2 linked regions of the Alligator mississippiensis genome follow. The protein of the gene in region 2 interacts with the protein of the main gene of each other region in a biochemical or structural test. Links are inferred from orthologs where the notes say so. Each region holds a gene or a part of one and is shown on either strand. Other genes may lie near its edges. The genes, in order: MEF2D and CABIN1.

Region 1 (10,241 bases), on a different chromosome or scaffold from region 2:
CCACTGCCAGCCCCTAAGTCCTTCCTAGACCTGACCCATTTCCCCAATGCAAGCTGGAGCTGTGGGGAATGTCCCTAGCATTAGATGCTTCCCCACAGCAAATGCCTGCTAGCACAACACCCCCAGCACGCCTCCATCAGCACCATGCCTTCACACCTCGGTTGCCTGCGTGGGCGGGTGGCAACCCCCCCCCCCCCCCCCCCCCCCCCCGCTGTACCAGCTACAGGAGCAGCGCAGGGGGGGAGGGGTAAGCCTCCCACCACCCTCCACATGCACAGCCCCGTGGGAAATCACTGCAAAGGATTATGGACCGATTGCTATTTGCAGTGCAGCTCGGCTAGATGCCAGAGTGCCCGGCGCTGTGTAAAAGTCAAACCGCCAAGTTGTGCCTCTTCCAATGAGCATTGTGGAATACCTGGCAGGGAATTGTGAGAATCTGGTCAAATCTGGCCAGTAATTAAAACTTCCCAGTTCAAACCAGATGGGAGACAGATCATCCCCTTGCATCCTACATGCCCCTCTCTACAATGTTTAGCCCTGGCCCAACCCCCAGAATCAAGAGACTGGAACATATTTCTCAGGACTCTTTGCAGAAACTTTCCACTGTGCAAGGGGGAGGGAAGAAACCCAAAGAAAAGCTGCAAACCTAGAGAAACGCAAAGGGAAGATGGAGCCCTTGAGGCTGGAGCAGAGGATTGGCATCAACGGCACTGGGAGGGCCGGGCCGCTGAAAGATGACAGACAGCGACTGGCAGATCCATCTTACCAGGAACACAGCAAACCGCGGCTCAAACATGCTTAAGAAGGAGGCTGAGGGGTCTCCCAAACATGGACAAATGTGGAGAAGATTAGCCTGTTTAAAAACCCTTTTGTAATTGCTTGACAAAAACCCAAAACAATCTGAAGCGAGTGCCAGACCCAGCATCAAATCCATATCCATGCCTTCAGCCCTGCCTAGCTTAGGAGGATTGGAGTAGCCACAATGCCCAAAGGCTCCAGCCAAGACAAGGACTGGGCAATGCCCAAAGCCTCTGCACTCGCTCTGATGTCACTTGGCTGGTCTTCGAACCACTGGAGCAGGAATTTGGGGTAGGTCTGCGAGGCCCGATCTCACTAAGAAGCTCCCATGACAGACACGGGAGGCGAAATCTGAAGGACAAGGCAGCGCGTCGTTCCCTTGACCTACTTACTTCTGCAAAAACCCTTTGGCTCTACTGTAGTCTCTACCTCAACCTGGTAGCTCCTGAGGAAGCCACAAAAGGCCTCGTCTTTGCTCGGACTTCACCTCCTTCCTCCCTAGCAGAGATGCAGCTCTGGCCAGAAACCTCCTGCCCAGATTCACGTGCCTGGAGAACAACGGACTCCGCTGACAGCATCAGGCCCTGAGCCTACACCCAAAGCACCTGCCCAGAGACAACCCTTGGCTGTGGTTAGCCGGGGCCAACCATCCAGATGCTTTCCATCCTCCCGGTATGAAGTGACATGGCCAAGGATCATGTGCCAGGTCCACCGCAGATCCATGATGAGAAGAACCCATGTGTCCTGGGGCCCAGTCCAAGCCAACAGAAGCTGACCCAGGAATATACTAATTTTCACTTTAAAGATTCTTCCCTTAATTTAAGAGAGGGGCACACCTAGGAAAAGAAACTGGAACTTTTTCCAATGACATCTTGTTGAAAGCAAGATGGGATTCATTCAGATCTTTTTACATGTGCCCAGTTCCTCCCTCCTCCCCGGCAATGAGTGATGTTAGGACTAACACAAAGGACACACCTATTCAGTGTGGATGTGGCTAGGATGGTCTAAAAGGGTTTATCTCAGTGGAGCTTATCCCATGCCGGGAAGCAAACCCCAGGTCCACCTTAGGTGCATGTTACCAGTAGAATACCTATGTATTAAACCAACTCGGGACTCCTAGCATGCACACAAAGCCATGAGATATACCATTTCAGCCAACCCCATGAGACATGGATTTGGTAGTAGAACCGTGTCTATGCTGAGCCACCCAGCTAGCACCTCTTGTGATAGTCAGACCGCTATCCCAGCATCCCCACTTAAGCTTTTACTGCTAGCAAAAACCACCCCCTAAGCCTAACCACAAGTTATACTGGTAGTCCTTTGCAGTCCAGAGCAAACCTAAGTGAGGCAACCAAGGCCACTCGGGGAGTCTGTGGCAGAGGCAGGTATAGATCCAAATCTCCCGAATCCCCATGGAGTGCCTTAATCTCGCACCTCTATGGATTGTGTCCAGACAGCAGGTGACCTGTGCAGATGCCGCAAGCTGCCACAGCACAAGAAAAGAACCGATACGCGAGTCGTCATATTACAGAGAGATTCACCTGAGACTCCAGGCCTCACCCTCGTCCCACTAAGGGGTCTTCCCCTTGCTCCAGCAGTAACAGACCTTACACATCAAGACTCCTTTATGCTACTAGAGTTGCGTAAAAGGTCCCCATGGGTACCCCCCTGCCCAATTCACTGGGACACTGAATAGCATCCGTTTATGGCACTTCTGAGACCATCTCCTACCTCGGCTTCGCTCATTTAGTAAAGGACAATAAAGTCCCTGGCTCTCACATGGCTCCTTTGCTTGCCATCCCTTGGGCAGGTCAGTGCCCATAACCCCACTGTATTGTTTTGAGGGGGAAATGGAGGCATGAAGCAGCAAAGTGACTTGCCTGAGGCCATTCTGCAGGGCAGCGGCAGGGGCAGTGTGAGCGCTCTCCCTGGGGGCTCACACTGCCAGGTCCTCTCAAAGCAACTATGGGAACTCAAGCAAAGAGGAGCTGAAAGCTTGTGCTGGAGAGTGATGGTTGATCCCCGAGAACAACCCTGCGGGTCCCTGGCCCTGCTCCGAACCCTACCCTGGGGCAGCTTTCACTTGTTCACCAAAGGTATCGATCCTTCCTGCAGCTATGCCCACCAGCGCAAATGTACCAGACAACCACAGCAAAGGAGTACCTCCTCTACCCCCTCTTCTACTGTGCTCAGAGCAAAGCACTGTGCAGAACAGAGGCCCCAAGCCCTGCGCCAAACACAGGCCAAAGAAAGAACTGCCAGCTCCAGCGCCTGGAGAGAGAAGAAACGGATTATGGACTGGTCTACACCATGCCAAGCAGCAGCTCGTTAGCTATCCCAGTATGGCAAAAGGGGTATGACTTCGCCTCGTGTGGACCCACTGCCGCAGAAATGTGCTGGCCGCTGTCCCCATGCAAACAGGGGAATAAATTGACTTTCGACGTTAGTGCAAAAAATTATCTGAATGAGACTAGTGCCCCTGGATGCCTGCTTTATGCCAGGACAAGGTCTGGGTGGGCAGACCAGGCCTTGCCATGCTGGTAGGGCAGGAGGTGCTCAGAAATTAGGGACTATCTAATGAAAAACTGGGGGCTTTTAAAGGGCTTTTCCTCTGCTGGCTGCCAGCGACCCGTGCCCCTCACCCTGCCCAGCTGACCCAACAGGTAGAGGGAAGTACAGACCACCACGGCCCCACATGACAACTGTGTGACAGCTGGACAGAGGGCAGAAAGTAAACAGCATCTTGCAGCTGACCCCAGGCTTTTCTCAGCGCCGTGTGGGACACAGAAAGGACAAGTGTGTGTGTGTGCACATGGGTATGCAAGAAGAAAGACCACCTGCAAGCTAGGGGCAAGCTATCAGAGCTCTCCTGCATCGTGGATAAAGAGCCAAGCCCTGATCCCCTTCCAGATCCCACTTTCCTACCACCTGTGATGGGGTTGCACCCTCCCAGATGCACAAAAACACCTCCGGTCTCCTTGCCAGGCAGATGCCATGACCCCATGCTTGCCTGCACCCCGACATGGAGCCAGGGACAGCGGCCGCAGCCCCCACGCCCTCAGGGGTCCATGCCCTTCAGTCGGGCACCACCATCGCCCAGCTGCTGTCAAGCAGAAGTGTCTCCTTCCCCCCCCAACCACCAGCCTTCAGCGACATTTCCACCGGAGAGGAACAAACAATCGCAGCTGTCAGTTCCCCGCGCAGGCAGGCGGCCAAGGCATTGAAGCGCCTGGACCCTATTTACCACCGGCCCTCCGAAAAGCTGCTGTTGCCAATCAAACGCTGGCCCCCTCGGCCCCCGCCCCATGCCCCACATACCGGGCACGGCTCTTCCTGACACACGGGGGGACCCTGCCGGCCCAGCCCAGCCCCTTGTGCCCAGGGCTGCTCCACCGCACCCCCACGAAGCCACCCCCCCATGCCTTGCTCTGGAGCCGCCCCTAGAAACAGCTGCAGCGAGCGGTGCCCAGCTCCAGGGCACCCAGCACCCCCTTTCCTCCCCCCGCCACCCGCCGGAGGCCACTCTCCCCCCCAGGACGGATCCTCCTTCACCTCTGCACCATTTTGGAGCCCGCAGTTAAATGTCAGCCTCCAAAGTGCCTCCCGTCACCCTCAGCAACAACCTCAGCTGTCAACCAACCCCCCCCCCCACCACCACCACCACCACCACCACAACCGCCCTCCCCCAAACAACAGGCGAACAACATGGGTGAGCACCCTGGAGCCCCTCTGGCGGCTGCCCCCGCACCCTCAAACACCCTCCCCACCTTGCTTTCCACCATATTTTTGCCCCTACTGGCAGCTTGTGGCTGGGGGTGGCAGGACCCTGCGGCCCCCCCCACCCCACTATTTGCCTTGCCCCCCCCATGGCCCCAGGCCTGCCCCCCCCCCAGCTGCCTTCACCTCTGCACCATCTTGGCTTGTTTTGGAGAGGGAGCAACCCCCCCCATGGACCCCTGCACCCCCCCTCCCCATCCCCCCGCCCCGCGCAGCCCCTCACCTCCGCCCGGCCTGGGGGTCCCGGCCCCGCTTCCTCCCGCCGCTACACTGTAACTCCGCCGGGCACAGACACAACGTAGCGCCAGGCGCAGCCTCCGCGCTGACGGGCGGCGCCGCCGACCAATGGCGGGGCGGGGCGCGGGGGCGGGAACATGGGCCACCCCCCCCCCCCCCCAGCTTGGTGCGGCGCGGCCCGGATCCTTCCGCCGCCGGGGGGGGGGTTCGGGATGGCTGGGTGCCCTCCAGGGGGTGGGAGGGGCTAGTGGTTAGAGCTGGGGGGGGGCCACCTGGGTTCTCTCCCAGGCTGGGGGAGGGACTAATGGTTAGAGCTGGGGGGGCAGAGACCCCTCCACCCTGGGGTGAGGCGGGGCAGGACACCTGGGTGCCCTCCAGGGGGTGGGAGGGACTAATGGTTAGAGCTGGGGGGGCAGAGACCCCTCCACCCTGGGGTGAGGCGGGGCAGGACACCTGGGTGCCCTCCAGGGGGTGGGAGGGACTAATGGTTAGAGCTGGGGGGGAGCAGAGACCCCCCCCACCCTGGGGTGAGGGGGGCAGGATGCCTGGGTGCCCTCCAGGGGGTGGGAGGGGCTAGTGGTTAGAGCTGGGGGGGGCAGGGACCCCCCCCCACCCTGGGGTGAGGGGGGCAGGACGCCTGGGTGCCCTCCAGGGGTTGGGAGGGGCTAGTGGTTAGAGCTGGGGGGGCAGGGACCCCCCCACCCTGGGGTGAGGGGGGCAGGATGCCTGGGTGCCCTCCAGGGGGTGGGAGGGGCTAGTGGTTAGAGCTGGGGGGGTGAGGGCACCTGGGTTCTCTGCCAAGTTGCGAAGGTCCCTTGGGACCCGGGTTGGAGGCAGCCCGGGTCAGGACGCCTGGGCTCCCTTCCTGGGGGTGGGAGGGGCTTTGAGGACTAGTGTTTAGAGCAGAGGACAGGAAGGTCAGGACTCCTGGTGCCAGGTGGGCCTCTCCGGGCTAGTGGTTAGAGCTCAGGAGCGGGAGGTCCGGACACCTGGGTTTGAACCCAGGCTGGGGGAGGGCTGTCTCGTCTAGTGGTTAGAGGCCGCCCACACCAGGACGCCTGGGTTCCTGCTGGTGGGAGGGGTGGTTTTCTTTCCTCTAGCGCGTCGAGTTGGCCTGTGGCAGGACGCCTGGGTTCTCTCCCCGGGGGTGGGAGTGTTTGAGCTGGTGTTTACAGCCAGGCGAGGAGGGCCTGGGTTCCCTTCCTGGTGCTGGGAGGGGCACTCAGTCCAGTGGTTCAGGCCAGGACACCTGGGTTCCGTTCAAGGCCCTTGCCGTAGCCGGGTGCCAGGGAAAGCCAGTGTCATTTGTCTGGCAGCGCCCCAGGACGCACATGGGGCGGGACTCGCTAAACCCAGGAGACGAGAGGGCAGGTGCAATCAGATCCTGTGTCACAGTGGCAGCACAGACCAGAGCAAATGGACTGGACCAAGGTCCTACGGAGAGTCAGTGACAGCCGAATCCACAGCTGCTCCAGCCCTGCAGCCTTCCATTTCACCACGCTGTGCCTCAGTTGCCCCCCACCCCATCTGTGCCTCACCGGGTGCAGAGACTTTGAAGGAGTGTATCCCACACTCAGGGATTCGGTATCGCTGTTTGGGGAGTAACTTCGGCTACCCAGGTGAGACACCCCTCTAACCACGAAGTCAGACCCCCCTCCCACAACCAAGGAGAGAGCCCGGGACTCCTGACTTCCCTGCCCCCAGCCATAACCACGTGCAGTCAGCAGGTAGGGCCACAGACTGGCAGCAAATACCAGCCAAGTCATGCCAAGGTCAAGTGGCAAAGGGAGCCATCGGGGACAAGCCAGGGCAGCCTGAGACCCCCAAAGACCTCCTTGCTGTTCCCTGCCACCAGTCCCTCCATGCCCACAGGCCCCGCTGTGAAGCCTCAAGAGCCTGGCAGAGACCAGGGTGACCTGTAAGCACATGGGCTCCAATCCAGGATCAGAAGTGGGACCGCGGGGCCCTGGACCCCTGAGCAAAGCCTTTAGGCAGCTTTCCCAACTGTCAAGCCAGAGCACTATCCTGGGCCTGGCAACTGTGGGTGCAGACGCTCTGCTAATCCAGTCTGACCCTAGCAAGACTGGAACAAAGGTTACGCCATGAACGCCCACGCAGTCTCAGGGCACAGTCAATCCTGCATGCCCGATCCCTGCCCTAGTTGTTTTCCTACCTGCCCTGATGTCTGAGCCTCTCTCCACCAGCCTCACATCCTCCTGGAGCTTCATACCGGATAAATGATGCTGTGGCTTGCCCTCAAAAACAAATCCTGTCATGTCATGGTTCTGACTGCAGCATCCCACCCCCTACATAGACCTAGGACAGATGCTCCAAGCCCGGGACAGATGCTCCCAGCTTCCACAGCTGGGATGAGCAGCTCAGGGTTGCAATCAGAGCAGACGAAGTGCAGCTTGCCAGAGTTTGCAGAGAGCCTGAGACAGTAGCTCCGAGAGAGGAGAACAGTGCCACAAATGCAAGCAGCAGTTCACACTCCCTGTTTGCTGCCACTGTGAGTGCACCGCATGTGCTCAAGGACCTCAAAGGCTGAATTCTCACCCTCTAGGCCATTTTGGCACCCCAAAGGGACCTTAATAAGAAGCCTCCCTGGCTAGCAGGGATCTGGCAAAGGGGGTGAGGGTTCCCTACCCTGCTCCCCCATGCCACATAGGGGACAGGGCCCTGTATTCTGGCTGTTTCCCATGCCCCTCTGGGAAAAAGCAGAAATTTTACATCAAGGGCAGAGCCAGTTTTTGAGATTCAAAACAAGGGCTTCAAAGCTCTCAAACTCCTGTTCCAGGAGAACAACTAGGAATCAGACCCTAACTAGATGTATTGGACAAAATGGGAGCAGGAACCACCAATCAAATACTGAATTATTATTATTTTTCAAGCTTATGACCTGTCCCCCCAAGCACAAAGCAAGACCCTGCAGTGCAAGGCGCTGCACAAAAATACAAGCCAAAGAGATCGCCCTACATCCCCCAAGGGCTGCAAAGGCACTAGAGCCTCAGCGTTAGCGAGAGCAGGCCTGTTCATCACAGCCAGCAGCTTCCCCAAGTACCTCGGTGCTAGCGCCAGCGGGGCGGGAAGTGGATCCACAAAGCCAGTGACTCAGGATGAGGAGGAAGAGTGTGAGCGAGTGTGTGTGCAAGGAGGCTTTACAAATGCAGGGCATGTGGGAAGAGGCTCCCGGCAGGCACGGGGAAGGTAGGCGACAAATGACACAGTGCGTGTGTGGTTCAGGAGACGGGGGTCTCGCTGCCCTTCCGATAAGTCATTTTGCTGGAGGCTCCCCAAGAACAGAAGAGAGCCTGAGACCCACAGCCTGAACCCCTCCATGCCCACCCGAAATTGGGGGGCAGTGGTTCTCCCTGTGTCCGTCCCACTCTCTAACTTTGCAAGCCCCTCGGGTACCATCTCTAGCCACATGCTGGGTGCTATCAGTGCATGATGGTGCACCCAAGCACCACTGAAGAATAGCAATGACATTTGTTCCTGGAGCAGCAAGATAACAACCTACTCTTGCAGACAGGCAGCTAGCAGTTGCTTCTTCAGGTCTGTGCTAGGTTCAAGCCTTGTTAATGCCCCACAATCAGGGATGTCCCATGATTTCAATTGTCATGTCACAGCAGCAACTGCAATTGTACAGCTGCTAGCACCTCCGTCCCCCATTGCATGGCTGCAATGAATACTCTGCCCACCTGCCAGCCCCCAAAAGCACTTCTCAGCCTGTTCATTATAGGATCTCATTGCAGAAGCAGGTTCTGCACTCTCTGACTGGCCCTAAAGTTGCACATGACCATCTTTACTCACATTAGATCTTTTGCAACTCAACCAAAGAAATCCCTATTTCATATTATTTTAGGAGGCTGACCCATGGGGCCTGTGTGAAGCCAGGCAGGCCAATGCCGCACCCTTATTGGGGTCAGATCCGTGTCACCCCCATCCCGCGTGATGTCACCACGCCACTTCCTGGCGGACTTCTGTTTGTTTGGCTTCAGGTCTTTTTGTTTCGGGTTATTTATTCCATTATTATTATTACTGTTGTAATAACGGGGGCTATTTTTAGCGCCCACTTCGTTTATAGGGAGCTAGAATTAGTCATCGCACTAAGCTGTTTGCCATCTATCCAGGAGGGTGGATTTTCCCGGGTCTGGTTTCCAATCAGCTGCAATTGTGCAACAACAATAAAATAAATAGATAACCCCCCTGTTCCAGGAGACCCCGGTGTGTCGCTTGTGTAAGAGGAGTTTTGTTGCCTTTCTTCAGAGTTTCCCCCCCCTTCCCCCCACCCGTGACCACCCTGAATGAAGGATCAGACCCGGGTATCAGCCCTGGAATGTGGTTGTGAAGCCTGGAATATTTTGGAAAGTGAGTGCAAGCTGCAATTTTTCCCTTGGGAACCAAGTGCTGAGTAACTCTCTTCCCACACCCCAGTGCAAGGCAGAGCTCTGTACACAGGCAAATGACCCTGGAAATGGCCTTCCACTGTCCTAGGCCAGTGGGGAAGGAGCAGGACTCCTGGGTCCTCAAGCATGCACACAGCCCCTGTGCATGCAACTCAGGCTAGAAACAAAAATGAGGGAGAAAAATACATACACATACAATGTATGTGTACAAAATTATATACATATATACACACAATGTGTGCGTGTGTGTATATTTATACACACACATACAATGTACACATACATACATTATGTGTGTACATGTGTGTGCATGCATCTATCTATATATATATATATCAATATACACACACATACAGTATATATATATAATACTATACTAGATATATAATATATATACACATATTAGGTCGTAAGCTGGCATGAATCCATGGAGCTCCACTGAAGTCAAGGTTAAGCAGCATGATTTGGGGACCTCACCCTAAAGGTAATTAAATATATATGTGTGTGTGTGGGTGGCCATATGTGGTTATATATATACACATACATACACACATATAATTTCACTACCATTAGGGTGAGGTCCCCAAATCATGTCACCTAACCTTCAGTGCCACTCCTTCAGTACCGCTGTATGGATTCAGGCCAGCTGAAGACCTGTACCCAGCTAGGAAGAGCCTGCTGGCATTGACCATTTCCCCCATCCCCTTGTAATAGAAGTTGGAGCAGCTTCGTGGCTGCTCCGATTGACATGGCCTCCTTATTACACAAGGGCTGGTGCTGGGGTGGAGGGAGACACTGGGGCTGCTTGGCCAGCCACCCGCCAGCCCCAAGCACCAGAGGGGTTGTGGAGAGGGCTACGTCCACCCCTTTTAGACTGCTCTGTGCTGCGGGAGCAGCTCAGAGGGGCCTCACTGTCCCTGGGAACGAGGTCTCAGCATGGAAAATAGCAACCTACTTCTGTTACCAGAGCAACCGGTGCCCATCGGAGGGTGCAAACCCAGGATGATGCCGCAGTGAATG
Region 2 (10,850 bases):
AACCATATAATTTGGTGTGTCATTAAGCTTTTCCTTTAACTGGGTGGCTGCAATTGCCCCCCCTTGGCGTCCAATTAACCTCTCTGCACCCTGAGTCCAGGCTAGGACTTCTCCCAGCACATATCTCCCAGTCTCTCAGAGCAGCCCCATCAGTCCAATTATGGGCTGATGCATGCCTTCCCATACCTCCTTCCAAAACCCAGGAGGGTAATCTATATTTCTTATGTCCGATGTCCTTTTGTTCTCCTTGTCTAGGGGCAGAACCGTCCCCGATAGCAATCCCAACATAACACACCGGATCACATAGTCCCTAACAGGTTCCCCAGGTGTCTGGTGGCTAGCCCCAAACTGTCACTTAAATGTCTTTCTCCCCAAACTGATCCCCAAACCCACTATGCTCCGGAGAATATTGTCTCCCCCAAAGCTGTCCTCCCGATTCATAGCTGCCTGAATCTCTGGGGTGGCGCAAGCCCTTAGTAGGTGGTGCCATTCCCGGACACTCAGGGTTTCACAGTCCACTACATTCAGGGACTTCTGGAACCACTTTCCCAAATTCCTAATGTTAGCAGATCCCAGGGTCTTGCCCAGGGTTGCTAGATCAGCTCCACTGAGGGGGACCGACACCTGTGTGGTTTCTGTGGGTTTTCCCTGAGCATCCCGAGTGACAGGTCCGCGTGATTGCACTCACCTAAGGCACCAGGGTCCTTTCCTGATCTGACTTAGGGTCTTCAGGAGAGGGCTCCCCTGCACCCTCTGGATCTCCCCACATCTCCCCACCCCAAATCTCTCCTGGATTGAAGGGGATGTCTGGATCCCTGGCTTGGTCTCCCTGGATAACAGCTGCTACTTGCAGGTTGCGCTCCTGGAGTTCCTTTTTTAAACAGTTAATGGTATTTAGACAGGGGCCATGGTTGACCTTGGCTCCCTTCTCGGCTTGGTCTTTAGCCATTGTCTTTACCAGTTTTTGCAAGGCTTCTCCGCTAGCCTTTTCTTGGTCCAATAATTCTAATTGTTGGGCATTGCCTTGATTTATTTTTCTCAATGGCTCATTTTCATTTTCCAAGTTCCAAGACAACCCCTTTAGAGTCTGATTACTAGTTTCCAATTGAACACATCTATCTTTTAGAATTTGGATTAGCTCCTCCTTTTCCTCAATTTCAGAGGCTTGCTGAGCTTTTTCCTCAACTGCTGTTGTTACAGAATGCCACAGAAGCCAGACCAAGGCACTGTGTTGCCTTTGAACCGAGGGTTTTTCACAAAGGCAAAAATCTTTCAAATTGGGATTCAATGTCCCCTATGGAAAAGCCTGGGGTGCACACATCCTCCCTCCATGCACTGGGTTCACCCTTCAGAATCTCCCTATGGAGAGAGGAAATTTCCTCCCTCCGTACCCACTTATCTTCTTGGCCTCCTGCTCCAATCTTAGGGGTTTTTTTCCTAAACAAAGACATTTTCCTCAACATGCCTCAAGCCTGTCAGTTTCCTTGAGCCCTTGCGCTCCCAACCAACTCTGCCCCTGCAGTTCTACAACCAAATCCCTTCCTTGGGATATGTCCACCCCCTTGGGTGACGACTAAATCCAGACCCTCCTTGGGTCTGCCCACTCCCTTGGGTGACTATTGCCCACCCACCTCCGTGGACGTGGGTTCTATCTGGAGACAGTCTCCCCAATTACCAATCTGCTAATAATCCTAGAATAATGCCTGTGTTCTCCACCAAATAATGTTGGCTACAAATGTCCAACTCGGGATCCTTAAAATTCTGGTTTATTAGGCGGATTGAAACACTGTAATGAGTTAAATCATAAACCTTGGGGCTGGTCCCCCCCCACACACACAGAGTAGCAAGCTACAGAGTCAGGTATACCTATCCTACAAGCGCTGGAGTCTGCCATTGATGGCCAGTCGAGGCTTCTTTCAGCATGGTGTTATCCTCCAGAAGGGGGTCGCCGGCTGGTCCTTCTGGCTGGACAGGTCTGGTCAAGTTGGAGATCAAGAGGGCGCCACTGAGGGTCACTTTTCACTGCTTTTTATCTGTCCTTGGCAGACTTTGGTGACTCCCCAGTTTTCAGGTTTGCCCAATCCAGGGGTCATTGACCCTTGTGGGACTTCCCCCCGCCCCTCGGTGGCTAGTGGATGGCATCTGTCAGCCCCAGGGGTCATTCGCATGAATGTGCAGGTTTGGGAGTCCGTTGATGAATTTTGAATAGGGCTCTGGGAGTGGTCGATCTGGAGATATTCAGCCCAAAAGTTGGTCCCTGGTGTTGATTACCTCAGGCCAGGGCTTTTAGCCCTTGATCAGTGAGGTTTAGAGATTTCCCAGTTGTTACATTGTCTTCTATTGAGTTCTTCCTTGGTTGATCTGCAGCTTCCTAGGTGTTAATTGGTGCCTGCTACTATGTTACACATTCAATCACTGATTCACTTGCTTTCAGGGGCCTGCCTGATACAGGGAAGGGCAGTTTGATTCCTGCCCTTGTTAACATTGTTACAATGTATAACTCACTTATGAAACTAAATACATTCAGTTGAAAGATGAAAGGTGAGGAGTATAAAATATAAACTACAAATGCCATGGCACACAAATAGATAAAAATACCAAACTACAAGCGGAGATACAAAATGCACACATACAAATTTTAAAACACAATTCCTTATCTTAAAGTGAAAGAGAGAGGAAGGAAGAAAAGGTAGAAAAGGAGAAACATATCCAAAGAGGGGAGAGCAAATGCAGGCAAGAGGAAAAGGGAGCTTTCTGCTACATGCTCACCAACTCTTAAAAAAATATTTAACCAAACAACAGCCTTAATTCAAATCCTCTGTAACCTTAGTTAAAGCTGGGTGTGTATTTATGCTTATTTATTCAAACACTTCATTTTAAGTACGTGCTTAAGCACCTGGCTCAATCAGGACCACAGACACTTGCTAAAGGTAACACTCTTTAGCTTGGCAGATAATTCACTAGACACCCCTCATCTCTCTAAAGAAAAAGTTACAGATGGCAGCAGTTTTAATTTAATTGCAAACCATTCCATACTGTTCCTTGTCTAATCTATTACCAAACTACACAATCAACCCTGCCACACATCTGCAAGGCATAGCACCCTAAACTGCCAAAAGCAGGGGGACAACTGCAGTCATTGTCCTGCTGCTTCAATGATTAAACTACACTGGAGAGATCCAAGGAAGAGGGCCACACTCCTCACTACAGAGGAAGGCAAACCCCCCCCAGTCTGTACCAATCTGACCAGGAAGCAAAAATCCATCCAGGCCCCAAATGTGTCAACTTGTCTGACCCTGACCAGAGGGGCGAGATCCTCTACCTAGGAAACCCTGGAGTTTAGTCCCAGTAGGAGCACTGGTACACCCCACTCAGGTTCCCCAGCCTTGGCTGCAGTCAACCCCAATGCTTCTGAGGAAGGCAAAAACACCCCCCAAAAATCCTGATATAGGTAAAAATAGGAGGGGGAAAAAATTCCTTCCCAGCCCCACTTGGAAAGGGAGCATGTGAAATACCCATAGCACAGGCATAGGTACTTCTAGATCATCTCTGACCAATGTCCATCCAACCTTTTCCTGAAAACTTCATATGGGAAAGGTTCCCTACAATTTCTTTAAGCAGTCTATTCCAAACCCTCCCTAATAGTGAACAACTTTTCCTGATACCCAATCTAAACCGATTCTACTACAATTTCACGCAACTGGTCCTTGTCCTGATCTATGCAGCAAAAGAAAGAAAGGTGTTCTCAATCTTCTTTGTAGCAGCCCTACAGATACGCACAGACAGCAATCATGTCCCCTCTTAGTCATCTTTTCTGCAAGCTGAACATGCCTTGTCCTTCGGCCTCTCCTCATTTGGTTTGCCTTCCAAGCCTTTATCATTTTTGCTGCCCGCCTCTGGACCTTCTCTACCTGCTCCACACCCTTTTTTAAAACGCTAGTACCTGTTTGTCCAGATACATTTCACATGGAGTTCATGTTCCAGGTTGAGAACAGCAAAGCAGGTTCACTTGTAGGTATGGGCTGCTCCGTGCAGGCGTGACACCTAATTTCCATTCAATATTTGTGATGGCACATCAGTTGGGGGTGTGACTGCATTTAAGCAAGGTGCTTGAGCCTGGACACAACTACAGTGGTATAATTTCCTATGTGAATGTGCCATCCCAGTTTAAAACTATTCATGCCAGCATAACCATATGCATGTTAGGAGAACGGTTACACTAACTAAACCAGCAAACAAGTGATACTAGTTTAGACAGAGCACAATAACTTGAGGGTACTGACAAAGCCTCAGGCACCCTCAGACCACATACTTAGGCATAACCTCACAGTAGAGGGCAATCCTAGACTGGACAAGCACGTAGCTGGGGTTGTCTGACCCCAGCACTCTTTTCTGCCCAGACTCAATGACCTACTAAGGTCCCTTCCAACCTTACAAAAATTATCTATAGATTTCATAGACTTTAGGGCTGGAAGGGACCTCGAAGATCATGAAGTCCAGGCCCGTGCCCCAGGGGCAGGAAGTCAGCTAGGGTCAAAGGACCCCAGCAAGATAAGCATCCAAGCATTTCTTGAATGAGTCCAGAGTAGAAATCCTTTACACCCCTGCACGTCGAAACCATATCGTAAATATAAATGGAGTTTAAGCAGCTGCTTGCTGGAGCATCCAGTTTACTCACTCGCTCTTTGTGCTCCAGGCACATCTCACGTGGCGCTTCGCGGTCCGCAGCTGAGAACAGGGGAGCCGCTGGCTTGCGGCGTGCAGGTGTGGCACCGACCAGCAAACGTGCATGGGAGAGAATGCGTTTCGGTGGGAAAGCATCTCCTCGGCCACCACGAGGATGCTGCTGGCAGAGGGGATCGGGGAGAAGCTGGCACAGGCCCCTCGTGGGAAGGGAGGTCAAGTACGGTGGGGAGGTGGGGGAGAGGACAGAGCCGCGGGCCGGGCCGGGCCGCCCAGCACCCGGCAGCGGGAGGCAGGCTCCTGCTTCCCGGGGCCGGCGCTGCCCCCAGCACGCGGGGCCCGGGGCGGCAGAGCGAGGCCTGATGCTGCCCCCGGCCCCCCCCACGCCCCGGCCCTTTGTGCAGCCCCCGGGGCCGCTCCGCTCCGCTCCGCGCTGCCGCCCTCCGCCCCCCGGGCTCCGGCCCGGCTCAGCTCGGACGGGGGGGGGGGTCAGGGCCCACCCGCGCCGAGGGGGATGCACCTCACCTGCGGTCTCCACGGCAACCTGCTCCAGGGTCTCTAGAGCCCGGCACACCAACAACCCGCGCTCTCATTGGCTCAACAGCAGCTCCACAACCAGCCAATGCAGAAGCCGGATGCTGAGCGCGGCTCCAGGAGGCGGGACTTCCGGGAGGGGAGGGGCCTTGAAGTTGAGGGGGAGGAGCCAGGGTGGTGGTGGGTAGAGAATGGCTTTGTGCTCTGCTTGGGCTCGTGGCAGCCCACCCTGGGCAGGCAGCCAGCAGCTGCACCCCTCGCCCCTGCGCCTCCCTGGCACTGGGATGTGCATGAGGGTGTCGGAGGCGCCGCTGTCATCACAGCACCCCGATGCCATCGGGTCAGACTCAGCTGGCCCCGTGCGCCACTGTGTATAGTATCTGGACTTGTGGTAGAGGATCTGATCATTTATTAGATCCACTAGATTTTTGCAAAAAACAAAACAAATTCTTTGCAAAAATCTAGTTGGTCTAATAAAAGATATCACCTCGACCACTCGTCCTGATTCCTTTGGCCTCTAGACCATACAGCTACAACCTGGATGCCTGATACTAGTTATATCAGGGGTGGGCAATTATTTTGGGCAAAGGGCTGCTTACTGAGTTTTGGCAAGCCCTCGAGGGCCACGTAACTGGCAGCCCAGGGCAGTTAAATATTTTCTAAATTTTTTAGGGGCCCCGCAGGCCGGCCGGATAGAATGGCCTGGCAGGCTGCATCCGGCCCCCGGGCTACATTTTGTCCACCCCTGGGTTATAGTATTCATCCACATCTCATTTTAGAGTTGCTGAATTTTTAGCAAAAAAAAGTTTATTTTCTAAGTGAAAGAGGTGTTCACAAAAACATTAGCAGTTTCACTAAACAATCCTTCTCTCCAGCTTGCTCCATTTTCACCATCTTTTAGCTCTTACGATGGTCTTGTGCTAGTTCCCCTGTCGCCACAAATCTTCCAGTGTAGATGAATCAGATTTCCAATAGCATCCAAAGCTCCGCCCTGGACTGATGCAGCCTCGTGGGCTCAAGATGCGCCTGTTCACAGGATGTTAGGGCACCAGGACATGCCACCTGGTCCAGGGTATTGCCTTGGCATCAGCCTGTCACCATGTCTTGCTGGGTGTCCTGGCATCAGGGCTTCTTTCTTTTCCTGACAGGGACCATCAAGCTCCCATACTCTTGGTACCATTCCCTTGTTACCTAGCCCCTCTCATGGTCCATCTCTGTGACTTTGTTCCTCCTGGCTTCACCTACAGCCTTGCTGCAGTGCTCTACCTCAGCACTCTCTCCTCTGCCTAGTCTTTTCTGAACTCTTCATAAAGGTCCAACTTCATCAGAAAACCTCTCTCTCAAACGCCAAACTTTATCGTCTTTCTTCCTGATCCTTCTCACCTTCCCTCTTTCTCAATCCTTAACCTTCACAGAGAAGCTTCACTTTTTCCCAGAAATATTATGCCACTGTTTATTGTATGTATTCACACCTTATTTCAAAGAGCGATTGAATTTTTAGCAAAAATGTTTATTTTCTAAGTTGAGGTATTAACAAAAGTAACAGATTTTAACAGTTTCACTAAAAAATCCTTCTCTCCAAATTGCTCAGTTTTCACCATCTTTTAGTTCTTATGATGGTGTTCTGCTAGTTCCCCTGTCACCACAAGTCTTCCAATGTAGATAAGACTCCAATTTCCAATGTAAAAAACAAGCAACATTAAAATCAAATGTAAAGGAAAACATTTCAGGCTTTCTTGCATACAGCAACCTATTTCCCCCTACAGGCAAGAAATAGGTATTACCACTGAAACATAAGTTACTGCATTCAGGTTACTCCACCAGAGGCTGCCTAGCTTGAGAAAACATAGTCTCCGGGAAACAGGACTGAACTATACAAGGATTTGATTAGCTGAACAGTGTGATTGAATTAGCCCCGAACAAGGTGTGCTAATTCATGCTGCAGTCTGTAACTACATCTTCACTGCATTACCAGCTAAAGCATCAGCAACACTGGAGTCTCAAACTCACGTCTTCTGACAGGCCAGTCAGTTTGAGTTTAAAGCACTCTCAAAACAAAGATTTTTGTGTGGGAATGAGAGAGGTTAGGGACAACATTATGCCTCAAACTAAGAATGCAGTGATGATGAACTCTTATTTTATGTGCACATAGTATTGTGTAGTTTTATATCACTATGTGAATGTCTTGTAATAAGCCAGAGGGCCTTCCTCTTACTTCAGTCAAGATTTTAAAATCAATTTGAAGTAAGTACCACTAGAAGGCATATTGTAACTTGCGTATTACACAAGAGCTCTTTCTAGTCAAGTGCCTAATGGCATCTGAAACATACAGATCAAAGCTTCAGTCATGTTTTGGCCTTGGATCTTTGATCTCTTTCAAAAAAGACCTTCCCTCAGTGCCATTTTTGTTGCTGGTTATTAAATACATTCAATAAAACTAAAGTAAGTGATTCTTTTATGATAAAATAATCTAAAGGGTGATTAGAAGATATCTGATAGTTATTTGCTGAAGTATGTGAAATAAGATGATACTCTCGTTCCTCATGGAGTAATGAGTATCAAGTTGTTATAACTGTATCCATGTTAGCAACTAGCAGCAGATTCTAGCAACAGCACAGAGGTTGAAATATTGTCTCAGTCATGTGTGGTCTGTGACAGAAGATGGGAGAGGGGAACTATGCAGGAAACTGTGCTACAGAAACCCCTCAGGGTTAGGTCCAGTTTTGGATGCAGGAGAGATAGCAAGGGTGCTTCAACTCAAGCTAGCAGGAATTTTTTGAAGGAAGATTTTGTAAGTATTGTACTTGATTAAATCTAAAGAGCCTTTAATCACTCTGCAGCCACACCACTTATGCTACAGCCATCTCTCTCAACCTAAGTGGTATAAGGAGAAATACTCTTGATCTCCAATGTACACATTACTTAAAAATAAACTTTAACTTCAGACTTAGAAGGAAAGATAAGCCCCAGTACATACACTCCATATAACCTAAGAACTGCTTGGGTATGCATAAATATTACAGCAGATTCTCTATACTTCTGGCAGCATAACTTCAAAAAGAATCATTATTATTTCATATTTGAATTCTAGTGCTGTCCTTAAGCTTGATCAGCTCTCTTGTGTTGGTTGCTGTGTAAATACATAGGAAGAACAGTCCTTGTCCCCAAGACTTAGAATAAAAGAAAGTCTTCTGTATTATATGTATACACACACCATGACCCATCTAACACAGTCTAGTAAAGGTAAGTGCATTTGGATTTGCAAACACATCTGTCCTGAGATCTTGAAAAATAAATAGAAATCACGGACACTTAGAAACATTGGCTCAGCTCAATGAGTAGCTGATCCTTCAAGATCTGAATGTTTAGGAACTGTAAAAAAAAAATAAAAAAAAAATCTCCTCTTGCTGACAAGTAGGGAGGATCAAATGCTAGGCAGTCACTTTCTAAGGCCAGCTGAACAAATTGGAGGTGGTATATGGGAGCAGTCTGAATAATTCCTTTTCAGGTATAGGCCTACCTGGGATATTTGCTGTTTCTAGAGTAACAAATCTTTAGAAATGTTACAGGAAAGAAGAAAATGTTTCCAGGTTCCTTGTTTCAGGGGTGTAGGTTGTAGCCGTGTTGGTCGAAGGACATAGGTGTGGCGGGGCACTTGGTGGTGCCTGCAGCTGTTTGATTTTGGTGGCCATTTTAGGACTCTGGCTGCCTTTATAAACAAGAGCAGCCTGCTGCTGGGGCAGGTGAGAAACATCACCTGGCTGAGCTGCTGCATGGGAACATCTTGCAGATGGACCAGAGCCTCCTGCTCCTAGCGTATGACCTAAAACTGCACCCTTCCAGGAGTGGGTGGTCTGGTGGGGCTCCCAGTGGTGTGGGAACTCCAGAAAAATGCCAAGCCAGTTACCACCCTGGTGAAATGTGGGTAGGGGCACCTTAACCCCAGCCCTCATCCTCAGGTGGGTTATATGAACCATCTAATCCAGGGAAGGCCAGATAAGCTTCTTGAAGTGCCTGAGACTGCTGGGGTGAGTGACCCCATGGGGCCAGGCATACTTTGTGAAGCACCTGAGGGAATGGGGGACCCTGATCTCTGAGTGCAGGCAGGAGGCTTAGACCTAACCCAAGGGACCTGACTGGTCAATGCTGGGGCCAGGACCCAGATAGGAGTCAAAAGGACCAGGGGCCCACTGTGAGGGATGCCCATATAGAGCAAAGAAGCTCGGGGTCCCGACTGGCCTGAGATGGGGCCAGGGCTTAAAGGGAAGCCGATGGTGCCAGGGAAGGGGCCACAGCTAATGAGCAAAGGGGGCGGTTGAGTTGGCTGCCTGAGATGCTATCTGCGAGGCTTGGGCAGCGGTGTAGGGGTTGAATGGAGCCGTGGACAGCCCCCCCAATATTGGGGTGTATCATGGACAGCCTCCTGCCTAATTCTCACATCAATATTATTACATCAAGGCATGGCAGACAAGTGAGGTGGGTAGCTGACCTCTAGACATGGGGCAGACCGGTGCTTGCACTGAGCATGAAAGCTTGCCCCAGTCACAATAGGCAGACAAGGTTCTTTGGGTAAATCTGTTGGTTTTTTTTTTTTTATTAGACCAACTATTAATAAAAGATATTGGTTTTACTATTAATAAAAGATATTGGGTTTACCCAAAGAACCATGTCCAGCTTCCCTTGGTTTTTCTATATGCTGCAACAAGGTGCTGTAATTTCAGTTTGACTTTCCTGTGAGTGTTCTTCTCAAGTACTAAAAAACAAATGACAGTATCCTTCTCTAAAGAAGCTAGTGGTCATTTTCTTGCGCTAACATGAACATGGAGTATATTCAGCCCTAGTTGTTTACAAAGCAGGAGAGGACAGTGATTTAATAGTTGTCAACTGTGACCTCCCTACCTCTTCCCAAAGTCAAATAAATGGCACGTACTCGGGTCAAGAGGAAAAAACAATCCACCCCCAACTCTCACACACTTCAGATGAATTTTCTAACTACCCTCTTACAAAATATGCAAAGTCCATAAATTAGAAAGCTTGGTCTCAGCAAGTTTCTTGATCCAGCTCTTCCACTCTGATTTTGCTTAACTATGGGATGTTTTGTCATGGCAGTACAATGCTGCAGACAGAAAGCTACAAATGGGGAGCTACAAAATCAGTAGGGAAAGAGAAAGTGTCTAAAGATGAGTAGCAGTGGGAAGCCAATAGGGCCCAGCAACTGACCTGTGATATGACAGAAAAACAGGAATGACCCTTAGAAAATTCAGGACTGTTGTCATGCATCCCCATTTGTCCTCCCATGAAGCAGGGCAGTTCCTAGAGACTGCTTTGCAAACCAGAATCAAAACTGAGGGTCAGTAAAAAAAAAAAAAAAATGTTCTCAGCTTGTTACAATTTGTTCATCCCTCATAAGGCATGGACAGGGCTGTCCCCCTCCATAGCAACTGGGAAGGTTATAGCTATCATGTGCAGTGCTACAGAATTATTGGAGTATGCAAGTTTTAAATTTAATTGAAGAGCCCTCCTGAGGAACTACATAGACACTCATGTCTCCCAAAGTTGGAAAGGCTGAAAGAGAATGACAGCGAGGAGGCAAGAGCATTGTTATAACTCAGTTAATTCACTAACAACGTTCC

The links.
Region 1: the proteins of CABIN1 (region 2) and MEF2D form a complex in vitro, tested with the Homo sapiens proteins (2 studies listed by BioGRID). The link is inferred for Alligator mississippiensis from reciprocal best matches to the Homo sapiens genes CABIN1 and MEF2D.

The regions. Positions count from the first base shown.
Region 1 is NC_081838.1:17,120,745-17,130,985, forward strand, and holds the start of MEF2D (myocyte-specific enhancer factor 2D), read right to left. Parts: upstream 4,920-10,241; 5' UTR 4,799-4,919; intron 1-4,798. UniProt on the Homo sapiens protein: Transcriptional activator which binds specifically to the MEF2 element, 5'-YTA[AT](4)TAR-3', found in numerous muscle-specific, growth factor- and stress-induced genes.
Region 2 is NC_081833.1:18,632,834-18,643,683, reverse strand, and holds the start of CABIN1 (calcineurin-binding protein cabin-1), read right to left. Parts: upstream 4,990-10,850; 5' UTR 4,703-4,989; coding exon 4,679-4,702; intron 1-4,678. UniProt on the Homo sapiens protein: May be required for replication-independent chromatin assembly. May serve as a negative regulator of T-cell receptor (TCR) signaling via inhibition of calcineurin. Inhibition of activated calcineurin is dependent on both PKC and calcium signals.